3 linked regions of the Kluyveromyces lactis genome follow. The protein of the gene in region 1 interacts with the protein of each later gene in a pairwise test. Links are inferred from orthologs where the notes say so. Each region holds a gene or a part of one and is shown on either strand. Other genes may lie near its edges.

Region 1 (3,764 bases):
CACTTGTGTTTTCAACAACGTTAGCTTCTGAGGTTGGTGCTTCAGGTTCACCAGCAGGTGCCTGAGATTCTTGTGGTTGCTGTCCCTCAGCCTCAGTAACTTGTACAGACTCTTGCTTTCCTTCTGCTGGTACGATGGTAGTTGTGTCAGCATTTTGCGTAGCTGGTGCAATGGTGCTGTTTGTATCGTTGACGATGCCAAGGTTGTTATCATTAGGTTCGACTTTTGGCTCGGAAGGTGTACTATGTACGGTGTTCGTAACTTGGGGTGTCGTGACTTGTGGTGCTGTCGTTTGCTGCTGTTCCGCCTCCTTTTGCTTCTGTTGCTCCTGCTCTTGTTGTGAGATAGCGTTGAACAATGTATCCATTCCCCCCTCCAAAGGTCTCTTTTGAGGAATGGTTTGTTGCACTTGGGGTGGCGGAGGGATTTGTTGAGCTTGTGTGACCTGGGAGGCTTGTGTGGTATTTTGAAGCGATTGTTCCTGTCCATTTTGGTATCCTTGCTGTCCTTGCTGCCCTTGCTGTCCTTGCTGTCCTTGTTGCACCTGCTGGGTTTGTGGTGGTGGTAGTTGTTGTTGAGTTTGCAGGGATTGCTGATATTGTTGTGGATGTTCGTGGTCTTGTTGTTGCTGTTGATGCAGTAGCTGCACAACTTGTGGATGCTGCTGATCAACTCTTTGAAGAACCGGTGGCATATTAGTGTGCTGAATAGGTTGCTGTTGTTGGAACTGTTGGACAGCATATTGTTGCTCCTGGCCATTTTGTTGCTTGTCATTCAGAGGATTGAACATTTGTGTGTTGTTTTGCAGCATTGGTTGTAACATCACTGGTTGTTGTGGCTGTTGGTTTGGTTGTTGGGGTTGCTGTAATTGAGATGGTAAAGGAAGAGCAGGCTGCTGATTGTATTCAATCTTCTGTTGTTGCTGCTGTTGCTGTTGCTGTTGCTGTTGCTGTTGTTGCTGTTGTTGCTGTTGTTGCTGTTGCTGTTGTTGCTGTTGTTGCTGTTCGCCCGATTGGTGTTGATTCATTATTTGAGCAGTGAGGGCGTCTAACCTTTCCCTAATATGAACGTTGTTAGGGTCCAACCTTGCAGCCTGTTTGTATGCATCCAATGCATCATTGACCTGATTGTTGCAAGTTTCATATAGAGTACCTAAATCGTACCACACTTCACTGATATAAGGATTCAATCTGATTGCTCTGGTGTAAGCGTCTAGGGCGTCACGATATTGAGCAATCTGGTAGTATAATACACCTATGGAACACCAGAATGTTGGGTTTCTTGAGTCGCGGTTAACGGCTTGTTGGAAGGCATCATATGCAGAGGTGTAATCATTTCTGATCATATGAATTCTACCCAAATGGTACCACGAAGTAGCATCAGTAGAATCGATTTCCAAAGATTTGAGAAGTAAATTTAGAGCCTTCTGTGGGTCATAAAATGATACATTATTCATACCGTATAGGCAACCGAGCTGTTGTAAGACTTTTGCATGGCGGTCGTTCTGTGATATGATATGTTCATACGCGTCCCTAGCTCCCTGCCATTCACCCATTGACTCTAAAACACTACCCAATTGGAACCAGACATCCCATTCTTGTAACGGAGCAGGAGGTTGAGGCAGGATATAACGGAAGCATTCCAAGGCTTGATTCCATTTCCCCTGATGTTTGTAAATGATACCCAACCTGAAATAAATTTCATTTGCCTTTTCGAATTGTGGGTCAAGTTCCAAAACCTTGGCAAATGCTTCCTCTGCGTAATCCAAAGATCCATAACGGTCGTATAGAATACCTATTCCATGCCATAGTTTCGGTATGTTTGGGTTTGATAGATGATAAAGGGCTTGTTGATAAGCTGCATATGCGTTTTGTAATTCATCAAGCATTAGATAACAATGGCCAAGAGTAGCCCATATATCGCCCAGCTCTGGGTTCGCAGAAAGAGCTCTTTGGTAAAGCTCTGCAGCTCTTTGGAACATATCACGAGACCTATATAGATGAGCTAACGATGTCAATGCGTTTGTCGACGATGGGTTATGTTGTAAAGTCGCATCATATGCCATTGCAGCCAGATCAGCATCGCCCAAAGTCTCTGCCAGAGATGCAATGGACAGCCAGGTCTCTGCTGTGGACTGAGACAACGGATCTAGAGGCTTCAAAGGCTGTTTAACCGGCAACAAATCCTGAGGACGTACCTCTATCGGCAACTGACTTTGTCCTGGTACCTGTTCATTGCCATATTCTGACGCTTGGCCTGGTTGTTGCATTGCTAATTGAGAAGCAGCAACCGCACCATTCATGGTATGTGGTAACCCTTGCAACATGCCCTGCTGATGTTGGTGTCCCAATAATCCATGTTGCTGTTGCTGCTGTTGCTGTTGTTGTTGTTGCTGTTGCTGTTGTTGTAACGAGACTGCCATTGCTGGACCTGAAATTGCGTTCAGCATATATCAAACGCCAATTCTGTTTCGTTTCCTACCTATTCGATACAATCCAAACCTGGATATCCAATCTGTTTATATTTTGCACACAAAGAAAAAAAATTATAAGTAGAAAAATAGTATAGTACAAGCGTGTGAGAGTGTATTCGTGCTATTTCCCAGGCTATAAGTCTGAATATTTCTTGCTTTTAGTAGACCAAAATACAAACCCTTTACGTCACACTTAAAAAATAACCTGGCTCTCGCTATTATCACTGAGCTAAAGTACGATCAATCGTTCCAGGTTTATAACCTACTATCAAAATACAGAACCAATAATTCTCGCAGATCTTCGTTACCTATTTGTGTCCTTCTCTCCAAAAAAAACAACAAAGATGTTGACAATCAAACTTAAGTATCGTGTTAGTAGAATTCTAAACATTTATTTATTTCAATTTTTTTTTTTCTGTTTCTTCAAAACCAATGCAAACGTTTATTTGTTATTTTTAATTTTTTTTTTTTTTTTTTCAACGGAATCTGCGGGCGTTTTTAGCGGAATCTCTCAGTAATGTCGACATTTTGGCAAACCGTCAGTTTTATGTCAAGATGCTGTATCTATTTAGTACTATGTCTACCCTATATCTAATTACTCTTGTGTATGAACGTCTCCATTGAGTCTACTTGTACAGGTAGGTCTGTGGAGTAGCTCTTTATTTTATCTCCTGGCATATAGAATCTTCTCTCTGACAACCTGCATCATGGAAGAAACGATAAAATATCACAGGATTCTTGCCTTCTTCTATTACGAATCAAAAACTCGAGGGGTGATAATACGAAGTGGAGGGAGGCGATGAATTCACCCTGACCGGGGAAAAAAAAACTGATGTCTGTGTTCGTGTTATCTGCTGCAAACACTTCTCTGTTGGATTTTCAGTGGAACAGAGGCAGGTAAAGTATGCAAAGCATTGGCGCTCGCACCACCATGTTAATCAGGCTTACTTCATCATTGCTTTTTCTTTTTTTCTACTGTTTCCTTTCTTTCTCTCAGCTGTAAGTTTCTGTGTGTGAATGTTCGTTTCTATCTTTTTTTTTTCCCTCGAGTGCTTAAGAATTGCCTTGGGGCTAATTCTAATGATATTACGGTATGCGATTTGCCAGATTCAGCAAATATGCGAGTCGTACGTTGCTTCTGGGACGAGTTTGTGATGATGGCTTGAGTCGACGTTTTTTTCGAAAGAAAAAAAAAAAATATTTCGTTACCTTCGCATAACAGCCGAGACGGTATGACAGCAACACCCTTGTATACCATGGAGTGAGCGAAGACGCGTGGTAGTGTACAGTG
Region 2 (3,167 bases), on another chromosome or scaffold:
TAAACGATACCAATTCTCAAGTTAGAACCATCATAAACTTGATCCAATTGACCCAAACCTTTAACAGCCATTGCAAAATTTACTAACTGTGATTTGAATGTTTAGATACAACGTATCTACTATCAGATAATATATATCTCTATATGAAATAGGATAAGCTTTATTCTTGTGTAATCGACCTATCTGATCTTAACTTTTAAATATCCATTCGCTTCTGGATTTTCATTTTTTGATCTTTTTCATATATAGATTTGTTACTGACAACCGAAGTGCAGATGTAAGTCATATCTGAACTGGAATAGTATTACGTGGAAAATTATGGCAAATACCGATACTGACGGAGGGAAAACACGATAGAAAATTGACCTCATTAGATCAATTCTAACTTGGGCACCAATCTGTATATTCAGCATCATATTAACCGTCGGATGAATGACATATAACAGTGATTAGGTGAGTGACGATAAAACCTGTAGCAAATGCGGAAGAGTACTTCTAAGTGTAAATATATTATAATACAGTAAATAATAAAAGATCATCTGTTTTTGTTTTCTGGCTAAAATTCGGTTGCATTCTCAATGGTTATGTCTCTTGCATACTGAGAACCTCCTCTAGTGTCCTTCGCAGCTGCAGTATCTTCTTCGGCGTCACCTTTGTCCTCCGCATCGCGAGGAACGTGATTGAGTTGAACGCTTGGGGCATATTTAGTATGCTCTAGATTGCTGAAAATATTAAGTAGCACTTTATCCAAATACTCCGGTGTATTGACGTTATACATATTAGATGGTCTGACATCCAATTTGTAATCAGGGCCATAATATTCGTAGTAATCGTTGTAAGGAAGTTCTTCATCCAAAATCACATTATTCAGAATACCCGTTTCGAAAGCCCATGTACGAGCCACGTTTCGCATTGTATAACCACCACCACCAACAATCATGAGAGGAACACCGAACGATTTCATGTAGTTGACACAGTTTGCGTGACCCTTCATTGAAAGGTTGAAACAACCTAAACGATCGCCGGATAAAGAGTCACCACCGCATTGGAGTACCACGGCAGAAGGTTGGTACCATTCCATAATTTTACCTATGACTGGTTCAAATACCGATTTGTAAGTGGCATCGTCAATACCGTCCCTTAATGGGACATTCACAGCATAGTATTTACCTTTCCCGACACCAGTATCTCTCAATTCACCAGTACCTGGGAAGAATTCCCCATATTTATGGAAAGAACATGTCATAACTCGATCCGTAGTATAAAAAGCTTCTTCTACACCATCACCGTGATGCACATCAATATCAATATAAAGAACACGAGGATGGTACCTTAACAACTCGATGATACCTAGCACTATATCGTTCAAGTAACAGAACCCTGAAGCTTCCGATTTTTTGGCATGATGTAAACCACCAGCATAGTTAATGGCAACATCACATTTGCCTCGGTTTAATCTGGCTGCACCCTCCATAGAACCACCTCCAGATATACTACAGTACTCGTACAAACCATCAAACACAGGACAATCGTCTCCAACGTTGAATTTCACACTCTCCTTTTGGAACATATCTAAATTATCTGGAGTGACTCGAGACAAGAAATCAATATATTCATCGGTATGGAACTGACACATCTCCTGTTTCGTTGCAGGTTTAGCCCTGTAAATTTCCATCTTCTTATACAAACCGTAATTCATAATCAACGAATGTGTCATTCTTATTCTATGTGGTTTCATAGGATGTCCTGCACCATAAGCATAGTTTCCCACATCAGCATCATAAAAGTATGCAACTCGCTTCTTCTCGTTAGCCTTCACCGTTATCGGGTCAAAAGGTTTAGCTTCGTATACCATACCGTCCACGCACAATTAATCTTAATAGTTTCGCTAAGTTGGAGAGCCGGTACAAATTTTTCACCTCTTGTTTATATAGCTTTCTTGGTATGTTTTCGACATAAATCAAGGTTTTAATAGAAATCACTACCTTCATTTTTCACCGTCTCCATCAATATAGAATTTCCAAGCAGCTAAAGAAAGAAGAAAAGCCTTAAAGAGATCTGTCATGTTACACGAGTTGAAGAAGATTAAGAAGTAGACCAACTTTTTACTGACCAGATCATCCTGCATGGATGAGTTAATATATTTGTTATATATGATTTATAATAATATTCGATATGATTACTTATTAACGATCATTGAGATTCGAAACTACTCTTTAATCTCAAGTAATGTCTTAATTCATCCTCAGAAACACTTGGTATTAGATTCTGTTGAGCAAGCTCGAAGTCTTGTAATTTTACCACGACCTTCAAGTCATTCTCGTTTGCCACGTTATCAAACCAATACCTCAATGATATATTCTTTTTATTTTCCATGTTATACTTCTCCCACTTTTCATCAACTTCACCAGCAACTCTAGTCATAGCGTTTAAAAGGGCATCAGAACACAATGCGTAGAAATCTGCACCTGTATAGTTGAACGGACATTTTTTGGCAATATCTAGTATATCGATACCAGATTCTAGTGTGAACTTTCTCGTCAAAGCCTTGATGATATTTGCCTGTTTTTTATCGGTATCTGATATCCCCAAATATAACATCTTGTCAAACCTACCGGGACGTAATAATGCTTCATCAAGAAGATCTGGCCTATTCGTAGCTCCAATTACGAACACTCCGTCTCCTCCTGAACTCATTCCGTCTAGTTCTGCCAAAAGTTGAGACACAATACGATCCATAACACCCCCAGAATCTCCCTGATTTCCTCTCTTTGGTGCCACGGAATCAAGTTCATCGAAAAAAATGACACATGGCTTAGCATCTCTTGCTTTCTGGAAGACACGTCTAACATTTGCCTCGGATTCACCAATGTACATGTTAAGAAGTTCAGGCCCTTTAACACTGAAAAAATTTAAAGAGAAGTTAGACGCAATTGCCTTCGCTAACAAGGTTTTACCAGTCCCAGGAGGTCCATAGAAAAGAATACCACTTCTCTTTTTCATACCAGATGAAAATAGTTCAGGGTGCTTGAGTGGCATATCTATGGTATCCATGATTTCTCCTTTGACCACATCCATCCCACCAATATCATCCCAAGTCACGTTAGGAATTTTAGGAGCTCCGATAGAGTCTGAGAATCTATCTCTTGCAATATTTATGACTGCAG
Region 3 (3,355 bases), on another chromosome or scaffold:
TCACATCCGATTCACGTTCATCTATTGTTGATGCCAAGGCCGGTATTGAATTGAACGACCATTTTTTCAAGGTCCTTTCTTGGTATGATAATGAATATGGTTACTCTTCAAGAGTGGTTGATTTATCCATTTTCATGGCTCAAAAGGACTTCGAAGCTGGTGTTTAAGGAGACGCTTTTTTTGTTTGATTTCAAAATCCCAGTAGACTGACAAAAAAGTACTCTTCGTTTGATGAAGACTATTCTCAAAAGTTTTCGACAATTTACAAAATTATGATGGTACTTCAAAACAATACCTTTTGTACCTCCATCCGCCATTATTATTTAATATTCACAGCAATTTAAAGATATTCTATTTACTAAAGGATATCTTCAGAAAATTTCTTAACACATATAGACAAGTTAAATAAAAACCCATACCATGTAAGCATAATGAAGTATACGATCTTAATATTAATTGGTAATAATGTATTTATTTAACCTCGAAGGCACTTTCTTCGTGCTCATAATTTTACCTTAATAGTGTTAATTTAGTAGTATTCTAACAACTCCATATAGGATATCTATTTACAAAGCGTAACCAAAAGAAAGAAAAAAAAACAAATATATCAGATTTCCGCACGTGATATTTTAGTATAGTTCGCCCACTTTAAAGTCATCCTTCTCCATTTGTGCCAACCTAGCCTTGTCCTCTTCGACATTTAACTCTTTTATCAGTTCCTCTTCTTCTTCAGTTAGGCCAGTGATGTCCTGTGTTGGGATGAGTTCTGCATCCATACGAACACTTGGGGCACCCTGTAAGTATTTGATGTTCTCCAAACATCTAATCCGTATATTTTCAAGAAATTTCTTGGAATTTTTGTTTTCATACAAGTCATCTAGTGTTGGATGTAATGAATAATCTGGGCCAAACCAATCTCTAAATGGAATACCTTCTGGAAGTTTAGGTTGTAGCAATACCCCATTTAATAATCCTGTTTCATACGTCCACAATCTTGAAACATTTCTTGGTGTATAACCACCACCTCCAACCACAAGCATTGGTACTCCAAACGACTTGACAAACCGTACACATTCACCATGAGCCTTGATATTTAAGTTAAAACAGCCAAGTCTATCGTGGCCAAGGGAGTCGGCACCACATTGCTGAATAATTACACTGGGCCGAAAAGATGTTATTACGGGATCAATAATGCTTTTGAATAAATTAATGTATGAGTCGTCTTCGATCCCATCTTGTAACGGAACGTTCAATGCAAAATGCTTACCTCTGGAGCAACCTATCTCATCCAAATCACCTGTACCTGGAAAGAATTCGCCGTTATACTTATGGAATGAAACAGTGAACACACGGTCAGTAGTGTAAAACGCTTCCTGTACACCGTCACCATGGTGCAAATCTATATCGATGTATAACACTCTCGGGTGATACCGCAGTAGATTTACTATGGCTAACACGATATCGTTAACGTAACAGAAACCAGATGGATTGTTCTTTTTCGCATGATGTAGACCACCAGACCAATTGATAGCTATTTCACTCTGACCATTAAGTAGCTTTCTAGAAGCATCTAACGATGCCCCAGCATATAAGGCAGCATAATCAAACATTCCTTGGAAGATAGGACAATCGTCACCAATGTTGAATTTCTCGAGTGACCCTCGAGGAAGTTTATTCAATGTATCTGGTGTTACCTTCGCTAAGAAATTGACATAGTCCTCAGAATGAAATTTTGTTAACTCATCCTTTGTTGCTGACCTCGTCTCATATAAGTCCATCACTTTGTGTAACCCGTATGCCGAAACCAAATGGTCGGTAAGCATAAGCCTAAAAGGTTTCATTGGATGCTTGACACCGTAATGATATTGTGATACCTTCGAATTGAAGTGGTACGAGACTCTGGGACTATAGGAAGTCCCAAAATCACAATCAAACAATGGCTTCTCAGCTTCCGTTTTCTCATCAAATTTAAGTGTATCCGATGACATCTTATGAAAAGGATTCCGCTACCACTTACCCGTAATGAATAACTGCCACTCAGCCAGAATTGATACTTGGTAGCTACAATCTGCAAAGAGTTGGGTATTGGCTCGGTCGATTGTCTATTCGACCTTTCCGTACTTTATTTATGTGTTGTTCTGTTATTACTGTATTTTCAAATTCCATGTTTTTTTATTCCAAGTGGATCAGAACCATAAACTCCGTACATCACATGAACCAATCACGTGATAACAACGTATCAAGATGAAGGATGTACCCCACAATTCTAAAGAGAGATCAGCATCGTTGCAGATTCACGTATAATACACTGGTAAAGCCCTTCACTTTCCTGCCAGTTTGGAGCCTGTGTATTCCCCTGTTCACAACGAATTCCTACCTAGATCAAACTCGGATTTGAAAATAAAAAATCCCAGCTTCATCACGAAATACACCATCTTTTTAAGACAGAACCATTGTTAAACGTGGATGGAACTGAGAGGAAAAGCCGGCAATTTATATATAGTTTCATGACATTGTAGGCACAGAAAGTTTGTGAAAGTTGTGGTGATCGAAAAAAATATACGGATTTGTTATATCTTGTCTGGAGCCAGAGATATTGACGTCGGCGGTTGTTTTTTTATTGAGTGGAGTAACAAGGTGAAACGAAACTGAATATAGCTGCGTCTCGAAAGAAATTGTCCGAGCAGTGAAAGGAGTGAAACTGGTATTATGTCTTTGAATTGGGGGTTAGTTGATTTTATGTTGGACAACTATGCGTCCATCACTGCATCCCCGATCAATGGTAGCTTACACGACATTTATGTCATTTATTCCATGTTCATGCAAAATTTCCTATGGAAGAATAACGAATGTGGTGAGACGTATTACCAGTTTTGTGAAGATTTGAATAAAATTTCAGAAGTATGTGGTGGTTGCATGAATTTTGAAGATGATAGTGGCGGGAATATTTTTGGCCAAAAGATTTCATTTGTTGATGGGGACTCCTTGAAAATATTGCAAAAAGTTCATTATGACCAAGCTATTAAATTGTCATTATCACATACTGGCAATAAAGCCAAGCAGATTGCGATCGATAAAGATTCTGTTCAGGTTAAAGAAAGAAAAATTGAAAGCGAACCCATATTATTAAATAAGTTGATGGGCATTTTGGACCAGAGTGAAATTGTAACCCCTAATGCTAAGTGTCTAAGACACTTAAATCAAATCCTCTCGTTAGAACTCGGATCCACTAAGTTATCTAAAGAACAGGCAAAATTAAACACTAAGCGATCACCTTTCATACCAATATGCTCAGATCCGAAACATGTGTCACTACTATCCACCGTCATCAATACTGTTAACAACAAAATCATGT

Evidence for each region.
Region 2: the proteins of CYC8 (region 1) and RPD3 interact in binary tests that used the Saccharomyces cerevisiae proteins (3 or more experiments, as listed by UniProt). The link is inferred for Kluyveromyces lactis from reciprocal best matches to the Saccharomyces cerevisiae genes CYC8 and RPD3.
Region 3: the proteins of CYC8 (region 1) and HOS2 interact in binary tests that used the Saccharomyces cerevisiae proteins (3 or more experiments, as listed by UniProt). The link is inferred for Kluyveromyces lactis from reciprocal best matches to the Saccharomyces cerevisiae genes CYC8 and HOS2.

Annotation. Positions count from the first base shown.
Region 1 is NC_006038.1:812,988-816,751, reverse strand, and holds the start of CYC8 (transcription regulator CYC8), read right to left. Parts: upstream 2,450-3,764; coding exon 1-2,449. UniProt on the Saccharomyces cerevisiae protein: Acts as a component of the CYC8-TUP1 corepressor complex which is involved in the repression of many genes in a wide variety of physiological processes including heme-regulated and catabolite repressed genes.
Region 2 is NC_006041.1:185,621-188,787, forward strand, and holds RPD3 (histone deacetylase RPD3), read right to left. Parts: upstream 1,856-3,167; coding exon 557-1,855; downstream 1-556. Other genes in the region: lumazine synthase RIB4, read right to left, coding at 1-71; PEX6 (AAA family ATPase peroxin 6), read right to left, coding at 2,194-3,167. UniProt on the Saccharomyces cerevisiae protein: Catalytic component of the RPD3 histone deacetylase (HDAC) complexes RPD3C(L) and RPD3C(S) responsible for the deacetylation of lysine residues on the N-terminal part of the core histones (H2A, H2B, H3 and H4).
Region 3 is NC_006042.1:847,100-850,454, reverse strand, and holds HOS2 (histone deacetylase HOS2), read right to left. Parts: upstream 1,989-3,355; coding exon 630-1,988; downstream 1-629. Other genes in the region: KLLA0_F09141g (type I glyceraldehyde-3-phosphate dehydrogenase), read left to right, coding at 1-167; IME4 (mRNA (N6-adenosine)-methyltransferase), read left to right, coding at 2,710-3,355.